Notamacropus eugenii: one gene and its partners. The protein of the gene in region 1 interacts with the protein of each later gene in a biochemical or structural test. Links are inferred from orthologs where the notes say so. Each region holds a gene or a part of one and is shown on either strand. Other genes may lie near its edges.

Region 1 (6,829 bases):
GCTGGAGATGGGAGGGCTAAGTTATTCCAAGAGTGAATGTTCAGATCAATTTAGAAAGTGGACAGTATAATACTTCAGGCCATACTTCCTTCCTATTCTCCACCTCACCAAATCCCTTCCTTAAAAAGGCAGTGTTTATTCTTTCTTAATTTCCTACATGGAAGGGGAAGAATCATGTAGGAGAAGCTGCTGATGTAGATGCTGCATCTGTACTGCTCCCCCCTGGTGGCTGTCTCCCTGATGTCACCCCACCCATCTTTAATGTCACAAGACTGCAAAAGGTCTTGACCTCCTCACTAGTTCTCCTGGAAGGCTGTTTGGGAGGGTGGGGAGAAAGACACTCTAAAAATAAATGCTTGTTCTGAATTAATTTACTGTAAAGATCTGTCCACGATCTATCCCATTACGACCCCAGTCAATGTTCCATGATTGTGGTGAGCTCCTTGGTGGGTGCTGCTCCCAAAGTCAGCAGAACCCACATCTCCAATGAAGTCTCGAGATGCCTCCCCAATTCTTTGCAACTCTATCCCTAAAGAAGGAAATCCTAGAAGCCTGGGGTCCTTCCTACTCAATCTTCTCCCATTTCCATCAATCTCTCCTTGCCCTGATCCTCTTTCAGAAAAAGGCCTGCCGTTTTTCAGCTCAGTTCCTAAGCACTGGTTGTTCATGGGCATCTGGACCAGAAGAGCACTCTCTATCACACAACGCTCGCACCTGCAGGAATGCCTCTGCGCAACACGCGCAAACATGCTAGTTTTCCTCATGGATCTGTCAAACGAGCGGAGCAGGACCCTTTCGGTCTGTGTGTGGATTAACATGCAGAGGGTGTGTGCACGCGCGCGCTCATGGATGTGTACGCGCGCGCGCGCCGCGAGGCGTGGTGGCCACGGGATAGTGCCCCGGCCCGGGAATGAACTAGCGGGACTGTGCGCCAGGGCGCGTGCGGGTATGGGAGCTCCTGGCACCGAAGGAACGACGCAGACAGGCAATTCCCGCAAGGCACAGGGATGGTTTTTGTTTGTTTGTTTCGTCATTTTCTCCAACCCTAAGCAGCCTCCCTGAGGGTGAGGGAGCACCTGTGAGCCTACCCTAACCAGCCTGGGTGGTCCACTTTAGCCTCTGCGCGTGCCCGGTCCTAAAAGGGGCGTAGTCCCGGCCGCGCGGCGGCCAGCAGAGCCTTTGCTGTTCCCATACACTGTGGGAAAAGAAAACCCTCCCTGGGAATTTGGAGACGCGTTCTCAGAAAAGCCCGGAAACAGCGAAAAGAAGCGTCTATTGTATCCCTGCCATCGCCGCTGTCACGTTGGTTCCTCGGTTATTAAGGGGGAAAATCGATTCGACAAAAGCCTGCTGATTCTAGTGGCACCTTCTCGGGACTAGGTGGGGTGGCGATGCTCGGGGTAGACACCACACTTCTCAATCAAACGAAATTTTAAAACCATAGCGGGGAAACACGAACCATTTAACAGGGAGACACAAAGCGGCACTCTCCCCAGCGCACGTTCCCTAAGGTCATTCTGCGGTAGCAAAATGTAAAGCTTTCACAGCAGATTTCCCCCGTCTTGCTTTTAACCATATCACCACATGCCATCCTGTTCTCTACAGGGTATATGCCAAGGATATCACAACGGCATTTATAAGGACATGTCAGACTGCAAAATATGGCACCACCGATTTGAAAAAGAGAGAAGAGGGAGAAAGCCCATCCTTTCCCCCCTCCCTCCTCCCTCTCCTCCCTTCCCCCCTCCCTCCAGATACACACCTACTGCAGCATCCAGAGGCAAGCCCTCACCGCCATCACGGCCACGGCGTAAGGGCCGGCTACAGAACGGACAGCGCTACCCGCTGCGGGTAAGAGAGGAACGAGAACCCGGGAAAGGAAGAGAAAGAAACCCGTCCTCTGAAAATGCACCTTGCAGCCCGCAGCCCTGAGTGCGGCAACTGACGTCTGCAAAAAAGCAGCTCGATTTTCCGAGTGACCAAGGCGGGGACGCAGCCGCGGTGCTGGACACGCACACACACACACACACACACACACACACACACACACACGCACACACCCTGATTTTGGGGGGGGGAGGGAGTGAAACAGAAAAAAAAAACCTTCCCCCCTCAAGAAACGTCAACCTCACCATTCATCTGCTTTTTGATTTTTAGTTTTGGACACAGGGAGAATAGGAATTGAGGATAAACTTGCATCCATCCATCCATCCATCCATCCATCCATCCAGAGACCCCTCCCAGTTAGGCGAATCCACTCCACCTTAGCCAACATGTCCCCTGAATTCTGGGAAAGAAAGCCGGGTTGGGGGTGGGGACCCTAGTAAGCCTTTCCCCCGAAGCCCACTTCGGGGTGGGGAGGCATCTGGTGAAAAATCCACCCCACGCCCTCCTGAGCGCGGTACGCAAAACGGGAAATCGGAGGCAGGTTCCTGGGAGACTGGAAATTTCTTCTCCCTCATCCTCACCCCAGGGCCCCACCCCCTCCTGGTCGTTGGCATCGGAAAAGATGCCCCTCGCCCTACTGCGGCAAGTGGTATGGGGGAGGGGAATGGCAAGTCCCCCTCCCTTTTTTCCTCCGAGGTCACCGCAACCGGCGCCCCACCCTGTGCATTCAACACCTCGCTCTCCAGGTTCACGCAAAGGCTTGGACGCCGTAACTCCTTTTTTCCTTTCTCCACACACGCTTCCCTTTGTGGATCGCCAGAGGAACCCTGCCATTCTCCCCTACGCGGGTGCGCAGCCTGCGGCCGTGGGGTGGGGGTCAGAGCGCTAGGTAAAGGCATCCCTCCCTGCCCGCCGGGCGCTCAGCCATCCAGCCCGAGGAGGGGGCGCAGAGGCGCACTGGGGGCTGGGGAGCAGCTGGCCGAAGCCCCGCGCTTACCTGCTCGGCCGGTGCGAGGGGAGTGCGGAGCGCGGAAAAGGTGGCGGCGGTGGCGGACGCGGTGGTGCTGGGTGGCGGTGGCAGGTGGGCGGAGGTGGGCAGCAGCGGGCGAGAGCGGGCGCGCGCAGCCGAGGAGCAGAGAGCGCGACCACGGCGCCTCCCCGCGAACGGAGTAACTCAGCAGCAGCAGCGGCAGCAGCAGCAGGAGCAGCAGCAGCAGCAGCAGCGGCAGCGGCAGCAGGAGGGCGGGGGCGGGGGCCCAGAGCAGGCAGCAAGTGGAGAGCCGCAGAGCCAGCGCAAGCGCGACTCCCCGCCTCAAGGGCCCTCCCTTCTCCTCCGGCCGCCAGAGGGAGCCCTCAAGCGGCCGGGAGCCCCGCCCTCGGGTCACGCCGTTGCCCCTGCCGCCAGTCTTCTTTCCTTTCCCTGCCGTGGTTCTCTCTTTCCCTCTTCCCCACCCTGGGAATCTCAGCCCCAACCCTTCCCTCACCCACCCCAGCGCCTGGGTTTCCCAGCACGGACAGGCGCGCGCGCTCGCGCCCGGCGCATGCGCACGCACCTCTCTCCCACCCCATACACAGACCCCCTTCTTCTCTCAGCCTGGGGCCTTTGTCTCGTCAGAGAGACCCGGGGGCTTTTCCCTGGGGGGAGGGGGGCACAGGCCGGGCAGCCGGCTCTGACTTAGCCCTGACACCCCCAGAGTCACAGAAGCACTGGCGAGGGCGGTCCCCGGGACAGAGAGGACCCCCTCCCCCCATCCCCTCTGCAGCCCCGGGGTCACACCCAGAGTCGTCGTCACAGCGTGGTGGGGGTAGCGCCGAGGCGGACTTGGGGGTCATTTTGTCCACCCCCACCCCACCCCGTGACGAAGCCCAGGAGGTTAAGGGTGGGCCCGAGGTCACACAGCAGCGCATCTACGCGTACCTGCGCAGGTCTGCTCACCGCCCCCACCTGTAAAGCCACCCATTCCCGCCAGCTTGCGCCCCTGCTTGTCTCCCTTTGGGCCCCTTGGCAAAGGCGTCTCCCTACGAGCGATGCCCTCATGCCCTTTTTCCTCCCTCCCTTCTTAGCCGGGATTTGGACCCAGGCGCTCGGGCTGGGTGCCCACCCTGGGGTGCATCCTCTTCCACTCGTCTCCCTTGCGCCCCCAGATCACACGGTCGTTTCGGACCTCTCTGGGACAACTGGTTGGCACAGTGGACAGAGCATCGCATAGAGTAAGGACGACGGGTTCAGCCTTGGCCTTTTTATAGCTGGCAACTAATTCATATAACCTCTGCGTGCCCCAGTGTGCCCATCTGTAAAACAGGGATCATTCTAGTACTTTCTTCCCAGAATTGCTATGAAGATAAAACGAGATACTATTTGTAGAGTGCTTGGCAAACTTATTTTTTTTTTTATTCTTGGGCTCAAAGATCACTGAAGTTGAAGACTGAGGCCATGAAATTAAAAGACCTTTGCTCCTTGGAAGAAAAAGCTATGACAACTCTGGACAGCATGCTCAAAAGCAGAGATATCTCCTTTCCTACAAAGGTCCAAGATAGTCAAAGCTCAGGTTTTTCCAGTAACGATCTATGGCTGTGAGAGTTGGACTATAAAGAAAGCTGAGTTCTGTAGAATTGAGGTTTTTCCATTGTGGTGCTGGAGAAGACGTTTGAGAGTCCCTTGACAACAAGAAGGTCAAATCAGTTAATGTTTAAAGAAATTAATCCAGGTTATTACTGGACAGTCAAACACTGCAGCTGAAGCTTAAATACTGTGGCCATATAATGAGAAGATGGCACTTATTAGAAAAGACCCTGATGTGAGGAAAGATTGAAGGCAAAAGGAGGAGGGAATGACAGAGGATGAGAGAGAAAGATAGTGTCATGGGAACAAGAAACACAAACTTGGACAGACTTCAAGAGATAGTAGAGGATAGTAGAGGCATGCTATATTGTCCAGGGGATCATAGAGAGTAAGACACAACTGTATGGCTGTACAACAACAAATTGCAAACCTTAAAGTGATATATAAATGCTAAGTTATAAATAGGAGTATTTGTTGTTAACATCAGAGAGCCCCTCCCTCCTTCCATTTTCCTTTCCTACACTTCCTTGATTAGGGAGATTCATATTTATTTTCTCAATACCCAGTATTTCTTAAGCAGGACAGTTTTGGAAGGCTGCAATTCATTGGAGCTGAAAGAACTGGAGATTGGAGGAGTTTCAGATCTAGGGGAGAGTTAGGGTGATACACTGGAAAGCATGCTGTCTGGAGTCAAAGGTCCTGGATTCCAGTCCTGATTCTGCTATTTCTACCTGTGTGGTCTCCATGTCACTTAACATCTGTGGGCTTCAGTTTCCCCATGTGTAAAATAAGAGAGAGGATCTCTTCCAGCTTGATATCTATGATTCTGTGGGTTGACTACTCTACTCTGTGACCTTGGACAACTAGAAGGCCAGCAGGGTGTAGTGGACTGAGTGCTGGACTTGGGTTCCATTATGACCTATGTTATGAACAAACTATGTGACCTTGGACAAGTTATTTACCCTCCCTACCCTCAGTTTCCTCTTCTGTAAATTAGGGTTTGGACTAGATTGACCTCTAAGGTCAGTGGAGCAAGGCAATCATTGTGACTCACTATCCCACTCACCACAGCAACTTTTATAAACATTTCCTCTCTCAACAGATTTTTTCCTCTGTCCTCTCAACTGAGATTCTTTCTCCATATTCCACAAGAAATAATGTCAGACATTTGCTTCTTCTCTTTTCTTCCTCACCTCAAATCACTCAGATCCGTTCTGCAATTGTCTCCTCTTTTACCCCTGTCTAACATAATGAAGCAACCCTTGTTCAAAGGCAAACAACTCTACATATACAAGGATTCCATTCCATCTTCTCCAGCAGGTCACTCCCCTTTGTCATCCCTCTGTCATCCCTATTCTCTCACTAATCTTCAGTCTCTTATTGTCTGTTGGCTGCTTTTTTACTGCTTACCAACATGCCATGTCTCCCCAAACCTCAAAAAACTCTCACTTGATCAATCCCTTCCAACTATCTATCTATGAGTACCTTTTTGTGGCTAAACGACTTGAGCAATTCATTTACTGCCAGTGCTTCCACTCCTGTTTTTCTCATTTTCTTCTTAATTCTCTGTACCCTGATTTCTGATCTTATTGTTCAGTTGAACTTGCTCTCTCCATTTACTAACAATCTATTCTTAATCACCAAATCTAATGACCTTTTACTTGGCCTTTTTGCAGCCTTTGACCCTATTGAACAGCCTCTTCCTGATACTTTTCTTCTCTGTAGATTTTTGTGATTCTATGCTCCTGGTTCTCCTCCAATCTGTCTGACTCAGTACTCAGTGTCCTGTCCTAGAGCTTCGTCCAGGTCATGCTTGCTACACATAGATGTCCCCCAAGGCTCTGACTGGGGCACTCATTTATTCTCCCTCATACTATTTCATTCGATGATCTCATCAGCTCCCTTGGATTCAGTTACATCTTTATGCAGATCATTTTCAGATCTATCCTCCAGCCCCAACCTATCTCCTGACCTCCAGTCTTGCATCTCCAACGTCATGGAAATCAACTGGATGTCCTATAAATATCTTAAGTTCAACCTATCTAAACCTGAACTTATTTTCTTTCTTCCCAAACTCTTCCCTCTTCCTAACTTCCCAATTATTGTTGTCAAGAGTATCCCCATCCTCCAAGTCCCCCAGACTTGCAACTTAGGTATTATCCTCAATTTCTCAATCTCTCTTACCCTTTATAGTCAATAAATTGCCAAGTCCTGTCTTTTCTATTTGTAATATCTCTCCTTTTAGTCAGTCTTGCATCTCCAACGTCATGGAAATCAACTGGATGTCCTATAAATATCTTAAGTTCAACCTATCTAAACCTGAACTTATTTTCTTTCTTCCCAAACTCTTCCCTCTTCCTAACTTCCCAATTATTGTTG
Region 2 (7,920 bases), on another chromosome or scaffold:
CACGCTGCTCTGATTGTCAAGCCTCTGTTCAGAAAACGTTTAGGTCTTCTCTTCTGCCCATTCAACAGAGTATAAACTATCACTGACTCCCTATTGCTTATCTCCCAAAACATACATATTCAGTCTCATTCCAACCTAGTTTTCAGCCTTACCTCATGCTCTTTCCCTTCCTATATTTTATACTCTAGTCAAATTGGACTACTCTGTATTCTCCATCTTCATCTTACCAGTTCCCAGCAACATACCTTTACATATGGTTTCCCCTCCTCTTCCCACCTTTTTTAAAATTTTAAATTATTTTGTTTTCAGTTTTCTACAATCACTTCCATAGATCTTGTATTTTTCCCCTCCCTCTCCCTTCACTCTCCCCGAGACACCATGCAACCTTATATAGATTCTACACATACATTCCTATTAAATACATTTTCACCTTAGTTGTATTACATAGAAAAATTAAAATGAATGAGAGAAACCATAAAACAAAACAAAACAAAACATAACACAAGAGAAAATGGTCTGCTTCCTTCTGCAATCCAATTCCATAGTTCTTTCTCTGGATGTGGAAGGCGTTTTGCCTTGAGTCCATTGGGAATTCCTCTTCCCCTTAACTGATTGAAATTTCCCCCTTCCTTTAAGGCCCTACCGAGGTTGAACTTCCTTCACAAACTTCCTAACACTTTTTCTAATCCTTCTCTCCTGATCTCCCGGGAGTAAGTGACCAGCAGCAGTCAGGAGTAATGAGACCTGAGACCAGGTCAGGGGATAATGATTGTCTCACAAAGAAGCAACCAGAAGTCAAAGAGAGAAAACCAGAGCTGAGCTGAGAGTGAAGACCTAGAACTGTGGGCCTAGCATAACTTCTGTGACAGACTAATATACCTCCTGTGATAATGAAGAGACTGAGAGTTAACCAGAAGACTAGTGCTCCTCAGGAGACATATGATCCACGTTACTGTGAAAAGGAGTGGCCATTTGGGGATAAATGCTGAAAGTTTAAAACTTGATTTAATTCTAATATTCTTTCATATTAAATAACTTTGCTTTGAATCTATAGGCATCCCAGTTTAGTTCAGTAAAAGAAACATTGTTAGGGACTCATCAACAGTGAGTTTAAATTGCTAATTAGTCTAACAGTACCAGGAACCTAGAACTAGCTGTAAAAGAAAGGGGTGGGGCTCAGGATGCACTTGATAAACATATTATAAAGAAATTATTACATTCAATTGAGGGGTATAGGGAACACCTCATGAAGGATTTAGATCAACTGGAATTTAAAGGATGGGTAGAATTTCAAAAGACAGAGGTAGCAGGTAGGACTTTCCAAAACTGGGAATTGTATAATCAAAGGCATGGATAAAGGTATGACATGGCTGGTCATGGTGGCACACATCCTTAATTCCTATTACTCAAGTGGCTGATGCTGGTGGATTGACTGAGCTTGGATGTTTTGAATTATATTGCAATAGCTCTAGAGGTGATCAGGTGTCCTCATTGACTTTGGCACTAATATGCAAGAAGGTGTTTCACCACACTGTCTAAGGAGAGGCAAGCTGGCTCAGGCAGAAAATGGAGCAGGTCAAAAGCTGCCATGTCATCAACAGTAGCGTCAGACCTGGGAATGGCCACTTTACTTCTGGATGTGGGTAAGGTGGGGAGATCATTCAAAAAAAGGAAAGTATGAGATGTGTACAGAGGATGGCAAGTAGTCCAATTCAGCTGGAGTACAGAGTACACAGTGGAGAGAATACTCTTATATAAGACCAGAAAGGTGGAAAGACACCAGATTACGGAAGCCCTTGAGTGCCAAATTAAGGAATTTTGACTTATATTTGGCAGGCAAAAGGAACATATGGAAAAATTTGAACAGGAGAGTGACATGATCAGATCTGTATATAATAATTTGGATCCTGTACAGAGGTTTGATGTCTTGGGAGGAGGATAAGATAATCAAAGGAAAGGGCCAAAGATAAGCCTTGGAGAATAATTTTGTTAAAGAGTTGGGAGAAGAAAGACCAACCAGGGAAGGAAATAGAGAAGGAACAGTTAAAAGTAGAACCTAGAGTGCTGTGTCACAGAAGGCAAGGGAATGTCAAGGAAGAGGATTCTCTCTCTGTGTGTAAACAATAAGGCCATTTATTCAGAACATAAATGCATAATAAAGCACATTCCTAGTGAGCGTAGTTTCATTTCCCTTCCCCCCCAGACTAGTTTGAGTTTTGACTGCCATCTGATTGATGATTCTGATGGGGAAAGATTTGTTCCAGGGGGGTTGAGCCTTGCAGGACTCGGGTTTTCAACAGTGTCAAATGCCCCAGAGATCACAGACAAAGAGGAAGAGGCAGAAAGAAGAAAATGGAGTAGTTGTTCCTTTGGCTCTGCACTTGTACAGACTGGAAGGATTCTGTGTATTTCCAGACCTCCTAATCATTTTTACTTTTTAAAATTCTTAGTTTCCTTCAAGGTTCAGGTCTGATGTAGATATTTACAGGACCCTTCCAGATCCAACCCACTTTCCTGAATACTTCCTTGTATTTACATATATTTGTTATATACACCCAGTTAAACCTAAGTTTATTTAGATCAGTAACTGTTCTGTTTTTGTCTTTGCAACCCCAGCACCCAGTACAGTACCTTCATATAGAGTAGATGCTCAATGTTTGTTGAAATTAACTTAATCTCTAAAATTCTTTCCAGCTCCAATTTTATGGCTGATTTAATACGCTGAATCAGTCGCCTCCAACATAGGAGTTAGTTTCAGGAAATATCATTCATAGTCACTAGAAAATGATTTTTACAAACACTGCATGGGGTGAAATAATTGCAGTCTTATATGACAAGCTGTCATAGAACTAACTTCCCTATGTTAGCACTCCACCCATGGCTCACAGCAGATCTCTATCTGGTACTTTATTGAGTCACTGGTCTCTTGTAATTACACGAAGTTAGTTTATAAAAAAAGCCTTATCATATTAGCAAGGGCTAAACCCAGATCCTGCCAGGCCTGTTGCATGTTCCTCGGGGGTTTATTAAATTAGCATATGAGCCACACCACCGTGAATTAGTATATCTGATTCAGAAACAAATTATGAGGGATTCTGGAATCATGAAGCTCCATTTTGCACAGGTCTGCTTTAGCACAAGAGGAAGATTTTGTTCCTGATCTTTCGAGGGGAAAAAAAAATCATACGGAAGCCCTCCAGATATGTTTGTATAACCCTACCCTATTGTACACTGTTGTCTTGTCCTTTCAAGAAATTCAGTGACAGGGAGCAGCAAAGTATAGATAAACCAGAGGAAGACTTCAAGTATATCAAAAAGAGCTTCTAGGAAAGATTAACGGAAAGCTGGGAATAACATCCACATATGCAGAAAAAAAAGATGGGTTGCTTTGTGCACACTCCCCTGGTAATGGAGCTGGGATAATCAGTCATCTCAAGTATCAAAGGAAATCTAAGTGGTAAAGTGGATAAAGCCCTTAGGCCTGGAGTTAGGAAGACGTGAGTTCAATTGCAGCCACAGACACTTGAGCAATAATTAACCCTGTCTGCCTCAGTTTCCTCGTCTGTAAAATGAGCTGGGAAATGGCAAACCACTTCAGCATCTTTGCCAAGACAACTCCAAATGGGGGTCACAAAAAGCCAGACAGGACTGAACAAGACATCAGTGGAAATAATAACTTAATCTGTACTGGGGGAAAGGCAGGCAGGTTGGTGACTAATTTTTTTTTTTGACTAATGAGGTTAACTCATGATTTCTGTCCATTTCCAGGCTGAATAACCATTTAGAACTAGATTTAAAAAAAATTTAGTTTTTGCTGTCCTAAATTATCATCCTCTATGCAGTTTTCTCAGCCCAGTCTGTGCTCAGGGGGTAAATTAAAAGTGATGAAATTTCTAAGAGCATGGAGTCTAACCTTAGACGGGATCACGTCACAGCCCACTCCCCAAAAGCTCCCTGTGGCCTCCAGGGTCAAGCACAAGCCTCCCTGCGTGGAGGTCACCTAGCCCCCTCTGAGCTTTCCAGTGTCCTCACACTTGCCCCCTGCTGTTCTGGGACAAGGTCCTTCCCCTCCAGCTGCAGGCACTTCCTCCGTCTGTCCGTCCCCCCTCTCCCAGCTGGTGCCTTCCCTCCAGAGCGGCATCACTTCCGTGTCCTCGTGGAGCTCCTGGAGGGCAGGCACTGTCCGTTGCCTCTTTATTTCTCCAGCATTTTGCCCGGTGCCTGGCACAGAGTAGGCGCTTACCAGATGTGTACTGACCAATGGCATACCCACTCCTCTTGTATCTATGAAACAAAGCCGTCCTCCCAAGGAGGGGCAGAGGGCCACAGGGTCGGGGTCGGACGCGGGCCTCGGGGCCACGCGGTCTAGGCCGCTGTTTTACAGAAGGGGAACCTGAACCCCAAGCCTGTTGGGGCACCTGCCCAGGCCCTCTGGCCCAGGACGGGAAGCTGACCCCCCTTGGGCTCTTCCCTAACTCTCCAGGTGGAGGCCTAAATGTGGCCGTGGGTGAAGCCCCGGACCTCTGCCCTCTCGGCCCGGCCTTTCCACTCGTGCTCGTGAAGGCGCTTCACCGATGTCCACGCAGTTTTACTGCCCGGAAGGGCCTCGCCGCAAGGCCCTCAACCGGGAAAAGACAACGAAACTGAGGCCCGGAAGACATAGAGCGAGGCAGGCTTGCCCAAGGCCGAGCGGCGAGGGATCGCGCCCCTCCGGCAGGGGGTGGGGTGCCAAGCCCCGGACACTGCTCCCAGGAGGCCCAGGCCTGCGGTGGAGGCCGGGCAGAGGCGTGGAGCCCAGGCCGCGCAGGCGCAAGCGCCGAGCCCGCCAGCCCGAGAGCCAGGAGCTGCGAGCCAGCGGGAGCCGGGGGGCGGGGCCCGGTCGGGGGCGGGGCCTGCGCGGCGGGGTGACGACACGGAGGGCGGGGCCGGCGCGCGCCTAGGCGGGACCCCGGGCGGAGCCGCGGGGAGGGAGGGGAGTGGAGATGGCGGCGGCGGTGGCGGCTGAGGGGGGAGGGGGCGGGGAGCCCCGGGGAGTTGACGGGTCGGGTCCGGGGGTCCCGGGCAAGGTGGAGATGGTGAAGGGCCAGCCGTTTGACGTGGGACCGCGCTACACAGAGTTGCAGTACATCGGGGAGGGGGCGTACGGCATGGTCAGGTACGGGCCGGGGGAGGGGGCTCCGGAGGTGTCCTGAGAGAGGGGAAGGGGCTCCCGGGGTGTTTAAGGAGGGGAGGGGTCTGCGGGGATTTTCTTGGGGAAGGGAGGGGAGCCCAGGGTACGATCTGAGGAAGGGGAGGGGTCTCTGGGGATGTTCTTAGGGAGGGGAGGGGCCTCTGGCGATGTTCTGAAGGAGGGGACGTTCCGAGGTTGAGGAGGGGGCTCCGAGGATGTTCTAAGGGAGGAGGGGGTGTCCAGGGGTGTGAGGAAGGAGGAAAAGGGAAAAGAGGGAGCGATCAGAGGAAGAGAACGGGGCTCCGGAGATGTGCTGAGGGAGGGGGCCCTAGGAAGGGGAGGGGGCCTGGGCAGGTTCCTGGGGGGGAGGGGCATCTGGGTGGGGAGGTGTGAGCTCCCCTCAGACTTGGGGTGTGGGGCTGGGCTGGTGCATGGCTATGCCCCTGTCTCTGCTGCGCCCCTCTAGACATCCCCCTCTGCGGGACAGGCCTCTCCTGGAGACCCAGATCCCCGCTCGTTCCTTATGTATACTTTCTTCAACCACCACCCCTGTGGCCCTTTGGTACCCTCCTTCTGGGCCCCATCTCCTTTCCTCCTAGGATGCCTGGCTTGAGGACTTCCTGACGTATTTTCTCTTTATTTCCTATTTTCTCCTTACCCTCCTCATCCCTCTTTTAGACTTCTGGGTAATAGGAATAGAAAGAGACATACTAGGGGTCCTAACAGCTGGAGTTTAGGTTGAGAGGTGGGGAGGAGGAGGGTCAGTGGTCTCTTCTTCCTGGAGTGAAGTCAGAGCTTGGGTTGGCTGGTCCCCAGCCCACTCCCTGGAGGCTTCAGGCACTAGTGGCAGGAAGGAGCCAGCATTGTTTACTGCCTGGTCAGAGTTCTCCCTTGACCCCCCCCCCCCCCCATCCTCCCTCCACCTCCTCCTCCCCTCCCTCTTCCCATCCCCTACCCCAAGGCCTGGGTGGAGCTCAGTGGCCTAGGCTCTGCAGATGTTCCCTTAATCTCTAGGCTATCCTGCTCCCCCCAAACCAACCCCCCCCCCAATTCTGTCTGCATTTTTTCTCCTTCCCCCTGGGCACAGCTCTCCTCCAGCTGTGATCCAGGATAGATCCTTTGCCCTCTGCCCCAACAGCTCTGCCTTTGACCATGTGCGGAAGGCCCGGGTAGCCATCAAAAAGATCAGCCCGTTTGAGCACCAGACATATTGCCAGCGCACCCTACGAGAGATTCAGATCCTGCTTCGTTGCCATCATGAAAATGTCATTGGCATCCGTGACATCCTTCGAGCACCCACACTGGAGGCCATGAGGGATGTGTATCCTTAACCCCTTTATTCAACTCTGACCCCAGATCAGGCTCTGTAGGGGCTTTTTTTTTCCTTCTCTGTCTTGTGTTCCTTTCTCGACTCCATGCCCCAGTAGAAGAGAGAATGTGGTATAGGGAGAAGCGAAGGGGTTTATGAATTAGTTTTGTTCATATGTTTCAGTCATGTCCAAATCTTCATGACCCCTTTTGGGATTTTCTTGGCAGAGATACTGGAGTGGTTTACCATTTCCTTCTCTAGCTCATTTTTCAGATGAGGAACTGAGGCAAACAGAGTCAAGTGACTTGTCCAGGGTCACACAGCTAGTAAATATCGGGGGCCATATTTGAACTCAGGAAGAGGAGTCTTGGGTCTTCAGACCTAGCACTGTATCTACTGTGCCACTTAGCTACCCCTATAAATTAGTAGATCCTGATTTTAATCCCATCTTGTGCTTCACTTTCTTCTTATAAAATGAGATATTGAACTAGATGATCTCTGAAGTTCCTCCCAGCTCTTAATATTTAGAGATTCTGAGACCTTGGCCAGGTCTCTGCCCATAGTCAGGGTTTAATTAAAATTTTGTAGATAGTGAGTCTCTGCAACAGAGCCTGTGAAGCCCCACATAAATCTTCTATATATCGCCTGTTTTCCTGCCAACCCCTCCTTTTTCTCCTGTCAAACAGATGGGGGCTTATAGCCATCTTCTCTTGAACTTTCCCCCTCAAAGCCCCACCCAGGTACCTCCCCAACAGGAAGATCCTTGGACCTTGTCCAGATTTTGGACTGTATTATCATGCCCTTTTTCCTCTCTGCTGTCTTTTTCAGTTTTCCTCCCTTTATTTTCTTCCAAATGCCCTTTCCTCTTCTCAACTTCAAGTGAAACCCTGTCAGTCCCTTTCCTCCCACCATTCCCCATGTGTATGGATTTATACTGTAAAAAGAACTGTTTGATGGGGTCCGGGCCATTCAAAAATAAAATGGCAGAAAAAGACTAGATGAAGGGGCCCTTTGGTTGGCCTGATGGGGTTACTGACAATAGCATCAGTCTGTTATTCTCCTTAACTCTACTTCCTATCGGTTCCCCCACTTCCTGGTTGGAGTGGGGGGGAACTCCTCCATGTCTCCCTCAGCTACATTGTTCAGGACCTGATGGAAACAGACTTGTATAAGCTGCTCAAGAGCCAGCAGCTGAGTAACGACCATGTCTGCTACTTCCTGTACCAAATCCTTCGGGGCCTCAAATATATCCACTCAGCCAATGTGCTCCATCGGGACCTCAAACCCTCCAACCTGCTCATTAACACCACTTGTGACCTCAAGGTGAGAAGGCAGAGATGGCAGACCATCACGTCTCTTCCTTCTCCCACCTCACCCCACTTTGCCCTGTATGTACGTCCAATCTCTGTGTCAAGAAGTACAGCCTCCAAGCTGCTTATCA
Region 3 (7,039 bases), about 250 Mb from region 1:
CCCTAATGTATAACTAAGATAGAGGAAAAAATTCAAATAAAGATATTCTCAGACTTTTTTTAATGACTGATTTTTCTAGGTAAAAGAACAGAATCAGAACAGAGAAGCTTAGTGTTTAAATAAGAGAAACTTGGAAAAGAATATTTATTTGTAATAATTGTCCACAAGGATCCTTCAAATACTCTATTAAAACTATCTCATTACTTTATTAAATGGCCACTTTAAGTTCAGGGGGAAAAATTAAATCCTCATTCAAATGTATGATATCTTATAATTTAAACTAAAAAAGATTAAAATTAAAAACTACTTTCAAAAGCATGCTTTCTAGAACTGAAACTTACAGCTGAGCTATAAAGAACATATACTATATCAAACAAGGCATTTTTAAAGAAATATGAATACATCCAGTTCTTCTTGATAAGTAATTTAAACAAAATCCACCCTACTACATATCAAAGATTTTTTAACCTCTTACTATTTCCATGTATAAATTTAATTTTTCATACATACATGCATACATATGATATACTATACTGTTGAACATGAAAAAATAACAGACTGCAGATTGGAAACAGTAACTTGTTTCTCATTGATATACTATCACTTCCTAGATACTTTGTGCTCCACTCCCTTCTGTGCCTTACCACTCTTGAACAACTACACTGGTTTCTTTGTAATAATCCAAATCAAAAGGTTTTTTAAAAAGTCTAAATAATATATTATTTCAAGAACTACTTTTTGAAAGCCAACCAAAAGAATAATTCTTCTTGTAGGTCTTTCCTCAAAGAAGCAAAGAAGGCTATTCAGATTGGGGGGGGGGGGGTACTTCAACGCTAATAATCTGAACAATATGAAAACTCAAAACTGAGAAAGAAATCCAAAGTTCAGCTGAAAAACATGAAACAATTCACCTAGAAGCTAAATACCTTCTATTATGCTACAATCACAAAGTATACACAAAAACTTGTCACAAACACAAAGTAATTTCCCACAGTATTTCCTCCTTAAGTAAATCTTCAAGTAATAACATGATTTAGTTACTACCATTCTCTTAAGAAAGGCTATTTTACAGTCTTAAGGAGACCTCCCAACTAAATGTTTTCTCATCTCTATGCTAAAATGTTCCCTGATCAGATCTACTTGCACAGGGCAGAACCAGAATCTTGACCTACACTTAAGAATACCTTGACTTTTAGTCCTGTGGATGGTTTTCCAAAAATTGTATCATACTACACTTCACCCAGGGTACTAAAAGACTAAATTGTCATTAAATTAAATTACAATTAGGTTATTTGTACAGTTATATTTCAAATTCTCTAACATCAGAACATCTTTAAGTGGTATGTTTGAGGATTAAAACTATCTTTAAACTACTACTTTAATACAGTAGAATCAGAGTAGTCATGACATTTCCTCTATTACAAAGTGAAAACTTCTCTCACATACCATTAAAAATCATGAGTGCAGTATTTTTCAACATCATTTTAGCAGGTAAACAGCACTGTTTTTTCCACCTAACTATAACATGGTGGTGGTAGATTTTACTCCAAGACAGGTGAAATAATAATTAAGAAGGCTACACTGTATACCTCACATTCTATGGAAATTCTAAACCAAAAGAGATCCTTGGGAAGGCTCGGGAGACAAAAGACAGACAAGGAGCAGATGCAGGACTAACAAGTAATAGCCCAAAGCTCTGGCTAACTTCAAGAAAATTAGTTTTGAACACTGACACAGCCCAAAAAATCAACGAAGGTGAGGACATCCAAAGTCGTAGTCGTAAACTAGTACCAACATACTTCTCCTTTCCAGGCTACAGTTCCCAACTTTGTCTCTCGAGGGCAATTAAACAGGAAAAGTGGGGCTTTTCTTTTCCTGCTACGGGAAAATAGAAAAACTCTTACACTCGAACTTCACACACGGTTACCTCTTGGAGTTCCGATCTGATAAGATCCTTCCCCCAGCCTCTGACTGAACAGACAACAGCACTGGACATTGGTCATCCAGATGAGGCAAATTCCTGCAACGGGTGGAAGAGAAGAAAGACACGCTTGGAATCGTGATCCGTCAGGAACCGAAGGAGAGAAAAAACTAAAGGGCAGAAAAAATAAAAGGCCAGAGCAACCTGTCATTTGCTTCTCTTGGGGGAAAAAAATAGGGGTGCAGGGGGAGGGGGAAGAAGCAGTGAGAAGAAAAGGATAAAAGAATCCCCTCCTGGTGTGTTAAATTCTCTCCCCCCCCCCCCCAAAATAACCACCTTTGGGAAGATAAGCCGGGGAGCAAATTTTACGGACAAGGAGGTGCAGGGATGGGGGTCTGCGGAGGACACGCTCCGAAAGCTTCCCAAGCTGCTGGGCAGTCAGGGGTCTCCCGGGAGGGATGGGTCCCTGGCTCCTCCAGCCCTCCAGGGTCACCGAGGCACGAGGCGCAGGGAGGACACGCGCGCGTACACATACATACATATGTATATACATATATACACATATATATACACACTTCTCCATACACACACTCACACGAGGTAGGAAGAGCTCACAGGCGGCGCGCCCAGCTCACCTCACCTCACCGTCCCTACCCCACACTACACAACTCGCTTCTCTCCCCAGGGGTTACCAGGGGAAAGGCGGGATGGGGTGGGAGGGGGAAGGGAATAAGGGGGGGGTGCCCGGACCTGATCCCGATCCCAAGCCTCCGCCGGGCTGCCGCCTCCTCCTCCTCCCTCAGGCCCCATCCCCACGGTCTCGGCCCCCGCCGCGCTACCTGCCGCTGCGCTCGTTCTTTCTGGCTAGCCCGCTCGCCCCCGTACCCAACCGCTAGCCCGCGCGCCGGTGCGCCGCCGCCGTTGACTGGCAGAGCCCAAGAGCCGGCCGGAGTCCCCCAGCCCTCCCACTCCTCCACCCACTCTCCCCGCTCCACACTCACACACACACACATACACACACTCACACACACTGGGCGGCACGGAGCGCTTCCCCGCCCCCGCCGGCCGCAGGACCGGCCTCCGATAGGTCCCCTAAACTGTCGGTCTCCTTCCGAAAGGCGCGCGGGCCACCGCCCCGCCTCTTCCGATTGGCCGCCCGCGCGCGGCCCATGCAAATGAGGTTCCGCCTCCACTCCCTCTCGACTAGTACTCCTTCACTCCCCCTCCCACCCCGAAGTCTCCCCTTGCCCAAGCCCCAGCGGCCCACGTGTCTTCTCTGTACCGGACTCCATCGCCACCCCCACGAGCCTAGGGAGGATTCCAGAGCCCTCGGACGCCCCCGTACCCACCCGGTAATCTTTCTGGGGGGACTCTGCTCCAAACCGCTTACTCTGTCCTACTCCTTTAGGACAGTCCTGCCAACCCCCCCTCGATCTGACCTACGAGAGCTGCCCTGCAGATGGAAGGGGTGGCTTAGGCTTGAAAGGAGTGGCTCCGTCCCTAGCAGACTGCCTGGACATACTAAGCTCGGGAGCCCACCCTGGAAAGTCAAAGATGCCCAGCTGAGGACGGAGAAGTCCTCAGCCTCCTGGACCCAGGCCAGTGGGGGCTTAGTACATATTGGGTTAAGGGAAGTACCTTCTTCTCGAATGACTGTCAGGAACTTTCCTTCCTCATCAGCTCCCTGATATCCATTCAATACAGTTCACATGTATAAAAATGTTTTAGCGGTGGCTACCTGCTTTCCTCGTAACAATCCTGTGAGGGGAGTAGGAGAATGGATTAGTCCTAGCTACATTTGGGGAAATTGAAGCTCAGCGATATTAAGTTGTTTACCCAAACAAAGTCAAACAGCAAATGGCAGCGAAGTTAGTGAATAGCACTCAAGGCCGTTATCTTCGGACCCTGGAAAAGATCAGTGCTTTTTCCTACCACAGCCTGTCAATCAAACAACAAGTATTTATTAAGCAGCTGTCACATGCAAGAGAGAGTACAAGCCTGGAAGGGACTCAAGTAAGAAACCAGGAAGATCTTTGCTCTCCAGGAACTTCCCACTTTGCCTCTCAGTAACTGCCACAAAAACTTTCACATTAGAATTAGGAAAGAATTAGGTTTCTCCGGAGTAGGAAGATAGGAACTGAGGGAGCACAAGATTAAAGTCCATAAAATCACATGAAGTTGTTCAGATGCCCACATCTAAAGATTAAAAGCTTGAAAGAGATCGGGTTAGTCACTAAAAGGAAGTCCTGCTTTACAAAATGGATTGTAAATTTGGGGAGCTGATCTTTCTAAGACAATGATACAGGCTGAAAATGCGAAAAAGTTTTCAGTTTAATATACAAACCATTGAGAATTGGCTTTGTAAGCAGCAGCACTAAGTGTTCAAAGCTGGAATAAGATAGTCTAGGGAACAGAAACTAAATCTCTTGATTCTCCTACTTCTATACAGATTCTACTACATCTCAGCCAAATAAAGGAGTTTATAATTAAGCAGGGGAGATAAAACAACATTTATATCAATAAATATAATAGTGAATTGTGATCAATTAATAAAAGAGGCATGTACTGAGGGCTTTATGAGGAAAGTAAAAGAATTATATTAAATTGTGAGCTCCTTTAGGGCAGGGACTGTCTTTTGGTATCTTCAGTGCTCAAAGCCCAGAATGAAGTATGGGCTTAATAAATGTTTATTGATTATTGATTACTTATTTTGTTCAGTTCTGTTCAACTCTTTGTGACCCCACTTGAGGTTTTCTTGGCACAGATACTGGGGTGGTTTGCCATTTCCTTCTCCAGCTCCTTTTACAGATGAGCAAAGAGGCAAACAGAGTTAAGGGACTTGCCCAGGATCACAAAGCTAGTAAATGTCTGAGGCCAAATTTAAACTCAGAAAAATGACTCTTTCTCACTCCAGGCCAGGCAGTTTATTCACTTTTCCACCAAAGGACATTTTGGTAAGGATTTATGGAGGAAAATCATATTTGAGCTGAAGATAAGGTTTAAAAAGGATTCTGCCCAAGATGTTGGGCACAAACAAAGGAACAGATATGGACACCCCCCTAGTTCACCACCTAGTTCACCTTATTCACCTCTCACCTGGTCTATTGCTTTCCTTGCAAATTACTCCCAGAGCCCCAGACTCTCTTGTTTCCAATCCATCCTCCACCTAGCTGTCAAACATATTTCTAAAACACAAATGTGACCTTTTCACTCTCTGATCAAGAAACTCCAGTGGTTCCCTGTTCCATTTAGGATAAAATGCAAGCACCTTTGACATTTATTTAAAAGTCTTCACAACCTGGTTCCAGCTTAATTTTCCAAGTTTATTGCCCCTTACTGCCCTTCACATACTCCATGGTCCAGTAAAAATGACTATCAGTCTATGTGTTTTTCCTTGGTTGACCCCCATACCTAGAATGGATTTTCTCCTTAACCTTCCTTTCTGAGATTTCCAAGCTTCCTTCACAACTCCCCTCAGGTTCCTTCTCCTCCAAGAGGCCTGTTGCCCTAGTTACTGGTGTTCTCCCCATTCCCAAATTACTTTCTATATACTTTGTACATATTTTGCTATATCAATATATACATATTGATCACAGAATCAGTTTAGTGATACAGAGAACCTTACAGGTCATGTAGTCCAAGCTGTTCATTTTCAGATGAGAAAACTGAGAAACAATTTTCTTGAGGGTAGAGACTGTCTTTGTATCCATAGCATCTGGCACAGAGCCAAGTATATAATGTCAGGCACTTGATAAATGCTTGTTGAGTGAATTAGTTAATTGATGGGACTGATGTAGTAGCCACTTTGGCTCTTGAGTAGGGGCCATGAAAAGGAGTATTGAAAAGGCTGGAAAGATAGATTGTGGGTGGTCTTACAAGCCAAATACTGGGGGTTAGATTTAATTCCATAGACAATGGGGAACTCCTGAAGATTTCTGAGTAGAGTGCTTTTGTCACGACAGTCCTGGGAAGTAGGGAGGATAGTGTGAGCATTATTGCCCTCATTTTATAGATGAGGAAACTGAGAGTCACTGAGGTTTGATGACCAACCCAGAGTCGCACAGGTCATAAGAATATGCTAATGAAGGTCAAGGAGGAATCTTGAGCTTGGATCCTAAACATGTGTACACATAAATATAATACAAAATAAAGTCTGCATGACCACTTCTTGGGGGTGTTATAAAAACAATATCTGTGTTGGGCAGTGGTTTACACTCAATTTTTATAAGAACCCTTCCATTTTTAAAGATCATATTAGACGATCTCAGAGTTGCCGCTGGAAGAAAGATGAGGAAGGATACAGGATTATCAATCATATGATCCTGAGTCTAGAGCTGGAAGGGACCTTAGAAGCCACCCAATTCAGCCAGTATATTTTACAGATCAGAACCTGGAGACTCAGAAGGTAAGTGACTTATCCAAGGTCACTCAAGTATAAGTGGCAGAAGTGAGATTTGAAACTGGATCCTCTGAGTCCAAATCTGTTATACCTAATGTGGTATAAATTTGGAATCAGAAGAATTGAGTTCAAATATTGCCTCTACTACTTGCTACCTGTGTAATCTTGGGATTATCACTTTAAACTCTCTGGACCCTCACTTCCTTAACTTTAAAATGGGGGTATTGGCTGTATATCCTCTAAGGCCCCTTCCAGCTCTAAATCTTATGAATAATTTATGAATGGTGTACAGTATGAACTACAGTGGAGAAAACCTAGAGGCAAAGAAAACCAGGAGTCTGAAAAAGGAAGAAAGAAGGCATGGTCTAGGGTGGTGTCAATGAAAAAGAGGGCACAGATTGGGAAGGATGCAACATGTAGAAAGACCAGATAGGACTTGGTAACTGCATGGATGAAAAGTAGAGAGAGAGGAAGACAAGAATGACACATCTTTCAAGTCTTAGTGACTAGTGAAAAAAAAAGAAAGGTGGTACTGCTGACAGGAGCAGAGAAGTTAAGAATTTCATTTAATTTATTTTATTTAATTAATTTCATTTCATTTCATTTCATGCATTCACTTATTAATATATTCCAGGCACTGTGCTAGGCACAGGAAATATAAAGGCAAACGAGAACAATTCTTGACCTTAAGTTGCTTTATACTCTAATGGGGAGGAGGA
Region 4 (7,082 bases), on another chromosome or scaffold:
TACTGGCTATGTGACCCTACCTGAGTCATTAACCTTTGTTTGCCTTGGTTTCCTCAAATATAAAATTAAGATATCAGCACCTACCGCTAACAGTTATAGGAGCTTTCTTCCCTCAAATGAGATAATCTATGGTAGCTTCTCCTACTCAAACTCCAGTGGCTCCTCACTGCCTCTGGGATCACATATAATCTCTTCTGTTTTGCTTTTGAAGCCCTTTACACCTAGCTCCAACTTACCTTATTACCTCTAATCTTATTAAAATTATTTCCAGTATTGGCCTTCATGCTATTTTTAACACATGCCATGTGATCTTTGCAATACCTGCCCCCCATGTAGGGCATGCCCTCCTACTCACCCCTCTCAGAATCCTTTGTTTCCCTCATAACTTTACCTAAGTGACAAAAACCTTTCTTGATCTTCCCACCTACTAGTGTCCTTCCCCCTCAGAAAATTACCTCCTATTTATTTTCTATATGTTTCTTTATGTACATGTTATCATCCTGAATAGAATAAACTCCTTGAGGGCAGGGACCATTTCATGTTCGTGTCCCCAGCATAATGCCAAGAAAATAGTAGGTTCTAAGTAAATTTTAGTGACTTAGTAAAGGATATATAATGATTCCTGGGAAGTGCCTATAAGAAGATCATTAGAAGGGAATAAGGAATGGGCCTCTCACCTCATGAGTGTAGGTACGAACAGGTACTCCAAAGGCCCTGGCTAGTCCAAAGTCAGCGAGCTTGATGGAGCCTTCAGCATTGATGAGAAGGTTCTGGGGCTTGAGGTCTCGATGGAGGACTCTGTGAGAGTGGCAGAAGGCTAGACCCTGGAGGAGCTGAAACAGGTAGCTCTGGCAAGAGAGGTATGCAGAAGAAAAAGTAGCATAATAGGATGCAGTTCTCCTTCCTTATAGTACCCTTGTACACACCTGATGTTCAATGAAAGGGGTTTTTTTTTGTTACTGATGCACTAAAGATAGCTTCCTAGGAAGCACCCAAAGCCTGATTCTTCAAATGCAGCCATTGTCCCTCCCAAGAAGGCACTCATAATAATACTTTCATGTCAGAAGATGGGATGAGTAAACTACAGACTTTAAGCTAAATGAGCTGGTCTACCTCCTTTAAAACTCTCCCACCATCTACTTGCACAGTTAATAAGGAGTTGATTCAGGGTAGTTGCAACTTTCTTGGTTCCTCAGTCCAGCCTGGCCTAGCCTAGCCTAGCCTAGCCCAGCCCAGCCCAGCCTGATGACTTAGCCCAGCCCAACACAACCCAGCCCTAATTAATAAACTACAAAATAAGACACAAATGAGATGGGGAGAGAGGAAGGAAAGGAACCTGAATTACCTGTAAAACATTTTGTGTTTTAAACCCATTATTGTAGGTATTTTGCCCTGTTTGCTCTGAACACAAGGAATAATGGGACATATATTCAGGATGTTATTGTAAAAAAGAAGAGAGTCAAAAGCCAGAAGAGGAAGAGGCAAGTTACCTTAATGAGGGGCAAAGGGATGCCTGTGAGTGCAGATGCATCCATGAACTTCTTCAGATCCTGATGCAGAAATTCAAAAACCAGGTAGAGTTTGTTTTCTGTATGGATAACATCCAGCAGCCTATAGAAGAGAGGTCAGGGTGACCAAAAGGAGGGAGGAAAAGGAATCATTGATATGAATATACCAAAAACAGGTTTATATCACTATGAGAAGAGATGGGGGAATCCAGTAGCCCACTCTGGGGGGATGAATATATCAACATATCAGAGCTTCCTCAAAGACATACTTACTTGACAATGTTGGGGTGATTAAGTTCCTTGAGTAGAGAGATCTCTCGAATGGCAGTACTGGGGACGCCCTCTGTCTCACTTGGAGAGGATGGGGGGAGCAGAGATGGGAGTTTAGCAAGAAGGTCACTCCCCACAGCCCAGTCTCCCTAATTAGATCCCAATTGCTAACCAAGGCCCTTGCAAGCATCTCTAAAAAGAAGGTGGGGGAGAGACTAAAGAGAATGCCAACCTACAAACTACTCGTGCCCATACAGGGTGGGGCTCACAGGCCAGGGAGTGGCTTTTGGATACATAAAGGCCACCATTTCCTCCCTCCCACCAGAGTACAATAAGGTGCTAGGAAGTGAGAGGCCTCTATCTAACTCTCTTACACTGTGGGAAACTGAGGCAAGTGAGGGCAATGGGGAAAATGTTTGAGGGGGATGGTCCTAACCTCCCCCCGGTAGGGCCAGTGAAGGTTCAACTGCCATTCTTTTGAAAGAACAGGCAGAATTCTAAGGTAGGGAAGAGGGAGAAGACCTGTTGGCAAGCTGCTTCCCACCAGTTGGGGTCTCTCTGCCACTCTTCTCCCTCTTTACTTCCTACAAAATCCAACTCCATTGGGTCCCACAGGCCATTCTAGAGGGTTTTTCCTTCTCCCTGAATTAATCCCTACACATTTGGGGCATTGTCACACGAAATTTTAGGAAGGGATTTTTCCCATTCTAAGCTTCCTTCAACTTGAGCTGAGAGATCCCTCCCAACCCACCACCCTGGAAGCCACGCTACCCTGTCCCCCCCAAAACCTAGAACCGCACTCCAAAAGAAATTGTCTCTTCATTTTCCGGTCCCGCCGACCCCTCTCTAGGATGGGGACACTCCAGGAACCCTCGAGGTAGTGGGGTCGAGGGTAGAGGGGGCCACTCACGTGTCCAGACGAATTTTCTTGAGCGCTACCACTTCTCCAGTCACCTTGTTCTTCGCCTTATACACCACCCCGTAAGTGCCCTCTCCGATCTTCTCCACCTTTTGGAAATTATCCATGGAGAGCCGGGGAGCGGGGCCGTCACGGCCCAGGTGTGGGAACTTGGGAACGGCTGGGAATCCTGAGAAGAGCAGCTTGGCTCTGGGGACAGAGTTGGAGGGCAGGGGGCCGGCGCGGTGGCCCGAGCCCGGATGGAACGCTGTGTATCCTTTGCCCCTTGTCAGTTTCTTCAACTTGCAACAATGTTGCCGCCTCCCCCCTCCCGCGCCCGGCCTCCTCCAGAAGCCCCGCCCCAGCTTCCCGCGTTTCACTCGCTCCGCCCCCAGAGTGTCTTATTGGTCTACGTCATCACGGAGGTGGGTCTGAGAGCTCTGTCTAGTCCTACTGGCTCCAGTAAAATACTCAGTGTCCCATCTCTTTTCTCCACTCTGCAAATTCTTTACCTAGGTCAACTTTTCTTTCTTGAAAGACCTGAGGAATAGCTATTTCGGTGATGGCTCTTGTCTATGTCCAATAATTATGCACCTATTGTAGATAATCTCCAATTTCCTATAGCCGTGTACCTCTCTTCAATCCATATGCCCTACCCTTTGTATCTTGTCTGCAGAGACTCCCCTAATCTCTTGTCCACGTTTTTTCCACCAATCCTGACCAAAAGAATATAATAATATTTGTCATTTATATAAGTGCTTAAAATTTACAAAATGTTTTTCACCCATACATTGAAGAAGCATGTCTCTGCCACTATTAAACGTACTTTATTTCATTTGATCCCCACAACTGTCAAGTAGATTGTGTTGGTTATTATCTCCATTTTACAGCTGAGAAAACTGAGGCTCAGTTAAGTGACTATTAAGCACCTAATATGTGCCACAGGGCCAGACACTAGACTGTAAATATCAGTAGTAAATATCAGAGGCAAAGAGGACCTAGTAAATATCAGAGGCAAAGTTTGAACTCAAGTCTCTTCTGACTCCAAGTCCAGATTTTTTTTCCATTTTCCTTTCTTCCAAGGGAGTCCCAAATAGAGGAGAATAACCTTGAACAGGAAGAACTATGATTCTGAGTCCAGGAGATATCCAAGGGTGTGCTGGAGTCAGCTTTAAACCAGCTCGCGAGAGTCAGTTGTTAAATTTTCAGTGTGAGAATTTACATTTAAGAAATTAGCAAATGCTACCAATCAGGGCTTGATTAACTATTTTGTTGATTATCTAAACTTAAAAGTATGACATTCATACTTTTTTCAGAGAGCTGATTGTTAAGCATTTACCAGCATACCACTGTATATGACTATATTTCTATTATAATAATAATGGAGGCAGCAAGATAAGTAACTTCCTGTATTTGTAGTCAGAATTTAAATCCCTAAGTTTAAATCCCCTTTGACTTCAGACTTTAAAGCCCTAAATAACTGTGAGTTATTAGAATAATATTACATTAGTACTAGCCTCATAATGAATATTTATATAGCACTCAAAATATACAAAAAGCTTTTCATCCTTGATTTTCCCTGTGATAGTGTAAATATAGTCATAGATGATGTTGATACAATACTTTATACTTTCTCATTTGATCCTTACGACAACATTGTTTGGTAGGTAGTACAAGTGTGATTGTCTCCTTTTTATAGATGACGAATTTGAGGATCAGAGAACCCAGGTGGTTTGTGAAGGGTTATATAGCAAATAAGTGTCTGAGGCAGAACTCTAACATCTTCCCCCCACCCCCACACTACAAATCCAGTGCTCTCTCCACTACCTGTGTCTTTCAGTCTCTTCCTGTTTCTGTCTCACAGGTTCTCATGTAAAGAGGATCTGTCTCCATCTTTTCATGAGGTTCTTGATTTGATGTAACTAACTTTTTGGCTGAATCTCTCATGCTGAATTATTTGTGTAGCTATGGAGGAGGGAGGTGGAGATGGTTGGTGGGATGAAGAGCTCGAGAGAAATTCCTTGATTCTTGCTTGACTCCTGTCTGACTCAGAGATTCTGGCCACCATATAATTAACACTTATCTGAGGGAAAATGGAGCCAAAAAATCTAATCACCTAGTGGGACTCAAAACATCCAGTAGATTTTGAAGTAAGGAAAAGTTTTCAAAGCATTTTCCATACATTCCTGTTTTACTGATGGGAAATTGAGGCTCAGAGAGGTTTTAGTCATACAACCAATAATTGGTTGGAGCAGGAATTTTCAAAAAAGATAACCCACATTTTCTGCTACCTAGTGCAGTGTTCTTTTTCCTCCATCACATCACTGTCAGTTCCATCCACCTCTCTTCAATTCTTCCTTTCTTCTCTGGGAATTTTGAAGGGAGGAGAAGATAGGCAGGGCTATGCAAATTAGTAGTACCCTTTCTTATATAGGAGCTAGCACCAACCTCTGTGCTATGGTTGTTCAACTGACAGAAAGAATGAGACTAGGACAGATGATCTGGTTTTATAATACGGCCATGACCTGTGTCCTGTTGACTACAATAGCTGCTGATAGTGAGTATGAGAATAAATATGGATATGTTGGGAGGATGGGAGGTGATGGGCAGTTTGAGCTGGGACTATCTGCTAAACTTGGCTTCCCTGAAATCTTGAGGATAACAGCTCCGCTAGCAATTCCCCAGGCAACTTTTGACCCCTTTTCCCCCATCTATTGAGAAGGACTTGAACATCTAGAAATGTGGGAAAGTTGAGCTGATGCACCTCTTGAAGAGGGGAGGAATTTTGGAGTGCTTGTTGCTTAAGTTTTAGGACTCCAAAGGGAATGAAATAGATCAAATCAGGGTTTTTGAAGGTGAAATAGACTATCCCTAAAATTGGCAGATGGATTGTTCCTGCCTCTTCTGGTACTTTAGGGGCATAGATGTGAAAGAGGCAGTTCTCCAGAAAAAGAAGGAAAAGTATGAGATCAAAAGATTAAAAAGGAACCTCTTATTTCTTTGGGTGTAAGAAGGGGGCCTATTGTCCTTGCCTGCTATTCTGGGGTTAGGGCAGGGGAGGCATCAGGGTCTCAGCTGAGAATCACATGAAAAGGATCTGCTGAGGGATTGGGATCTCATGACTGGAAAGGGGGGTTGGTCTGGAATATCAGAAGTTACAGTAAGGGAGGAGAGTGGGGAGGAGAAAGGAGAAGGGGAGATCTTATTACTCCTTTTATGCTAACAATGAGATACTCAGTAAGATTATTCTAGGTTCCTTCTCTCAACTTCTAAGTCTCTAAACCCTTTTCTTGCCCCTGTTTTCCCTCTGAATCCTGGAAAGTCAGGAAACCGTATCTCCCCTAACATCAGTTAGTTCTCTAACCCAGCAGTTCTCTGTCTTTTTTTTAGTATAAGGATAAACTTTTAAAAATAACAATATTATTAATATATTTTGGTTTTTGTCACTTAAACTTGCCCCTGTATTCCTCCTCCTTCCAGAGATCCATACTATATAACAAAGAATTTTTTCATGAAAAAAAGAAGAGGAAAAATGAGCATTAACTGACATATATATATATATATAGATATATACATATATGTAAAATCTCACAAAGTATACAATGTTTTGCACCTGTGGACTCCCACATTGCTACAAAGGGGAGGGGGGATGATGTCTTCTCCTATTTCTTCTTTAGTGTCCCGGATAAGAAAGGGTGTTTTCTTACTCCAATATGAATTACAGAGCTATACCAGTGTATGGTGTTTCCAATACCAATGAAACCACAGGTCCAAACAAACAAACTCTAGGGCCATGCTTCGTCTTTATAGTTTTGAAACAATCATTTGTGATTGTTCTTCCCGTTTACATTGTTGTAGTCATTATGTGTATTGTTTTCTTGGCTCTGATTAATTCATCTTGCATTAGTTCACCTAAGTCTTTCCATCCTTCTCTGCATCACTGTGTAGGTTATTTCTTAAGTCACAGCAATATTTCCCATTCCATTGATTACATTTACAACTTATTTAGTCTTTCTCCAGTTGGTAAATACATACTTTGTATCAGTTTTTTGCTACCACAAAGTGTATTGCTAGAAATATTTGGTGAATATGGGGTCTTTCTTTTCTTTCAGTGACCTCTGTAGTAAATAGTGGAATCTCTGGATCAAAGGGTATGAACATTTTGTCTGATAGATTTCTTTCTTCTTCCTTCCTTTCTTTTTTCCTTCCTTTTTTCTTTCTCTCTTTATTCTCCCTTCCTTCTTTCTTTTTAAACATCAGAACCATTTCACAGCTCCCTCACCTGGTAGCAGTTGTACTATTAGTCTCTATTGATTGAAAAAAAATAACAAAAAGCTAATATGAATTCAGTAATATTAAAATTAATTTGTATTTTATAAGTAACAGCATCTATATACAATTGGACT

The links.
Region 2: of the proteins of MAPT (region 1) and MAPK3, one has a biochemical effect on the other in vitro, tested with the Homo sapiens proteins (2 studies listed by BioGRID). The link is inferred for Notamacropus eugenii from reciprocal best matches to the Homo sapiens genes MAPT and MAPK3.
Region 3: the proteins of MAPT (region 1) and FKBP5 form a complex in vitro, tested with the Homo sapiens proteins (2 studies listed by BioGRID and IntAct, with this or other methods). The link is inferred for Notamacropus eugenii from reciprocal best matches to the Homo sapiens genes MAPT and FKBP5.
Region 4: of the proteins of MAPT (region 1) and CDK2, one has a biochemical effect on the other in vitro, tested with the Homo sapiens proteins (2 studies listed by BioGRID). The link is inferred for Notamacropus eugenii from reciprocal best matches to the Homo sapiens genes MAPT and CDK2.

The regions. Positions count from the first base shown.
Region 1 is NC_092873.1:346,978,892-346,985,720, forward strand, and holds the start of MAPT (microtubule-associated protein tau), read right to left. Parts: upstream 3,013-6,829; 5' UTR 2,885-3,012; intron 1-2,884. UniProt on the Homo sapiens protein: Promotes microtubule assembly and stability, and might be involved in the establishment and maintenance of neuronal polarity.
Region 2 is NC_092872.1:46,778,737-46,786,656, forward strand, and holds the start of MAPK3 (mitogen-activated protein kinase 3), read left to right. Parts: upstream 1-4,917; 5' UTR 4,918-4,982; coding exon 4,983-5,155; intron 5,156-6,308; coding exon 6,309-6,491; intron 6,492-7,612; coding exon 7,613-7,802; intron 7,803-7,920.
Region 3 is NC_092873.1:92,735,081-92,742,119, forward strand, and holds the start of FKBP5 (peptidyl-prolyl cis-trans isomerase FKBP5), read right to left. Parts: upstream 3,019-7,039; 5' UTR 2,761-3,018; exon of another isoform or gene 2,672-2,760; intron 2,584-2,671; exon of another isoform or gene 2,517-2,583; intron 2,092-2,516; exon of another isoform or gene 2,021-2,091; 5' UTR 1,928-2,020; exon of another isoform or gene 1,905-1,927; intron 1-1,904. UniProt on the Homo sapiens protein: Immunophilin protein with PPIase and co-chaperone activities. Component of unligated steroid receptors heterocomplexes through interaction with heat-shock protein 90 (HSP90).
Region 4 is NC_092874.1:231,163,553-231,170,634, reverse strand, and holds the start of CDK2 (cyclin-dependent kinase 2), read right to left. Parts: upstream 3,001-7,082; 5' UTR 2,805-3,000; coding exon 2,689-2,804; exon of another isoform or gene 2,629-2,688; intron 1,860-2,628; coding exon 1,782-1,859; intron 1,612-1,781; coding exon 1,491-1,611; exon of another isoform or gene 1,486-1,490; intron 849-1,485; coding exon 678-848; intron 1-677. Other genes in the region: melanocyte protein PMEL, read left to right, coding at 5,134-5,233, 6,789-6,827. UniProt on the Homo sapiens protein: Serine/threonine-protein kinase involved in the control of the cell cycle; essential for meiosis, but dispensable for mitosis. Phosphorylates CABLES1, CTNNB1, CDK2AP2, ERCC6, NBN, USP37, p53/TP53, NPM1, CDK7, RB1, BRCA2, MYC, NPAT, EZH2.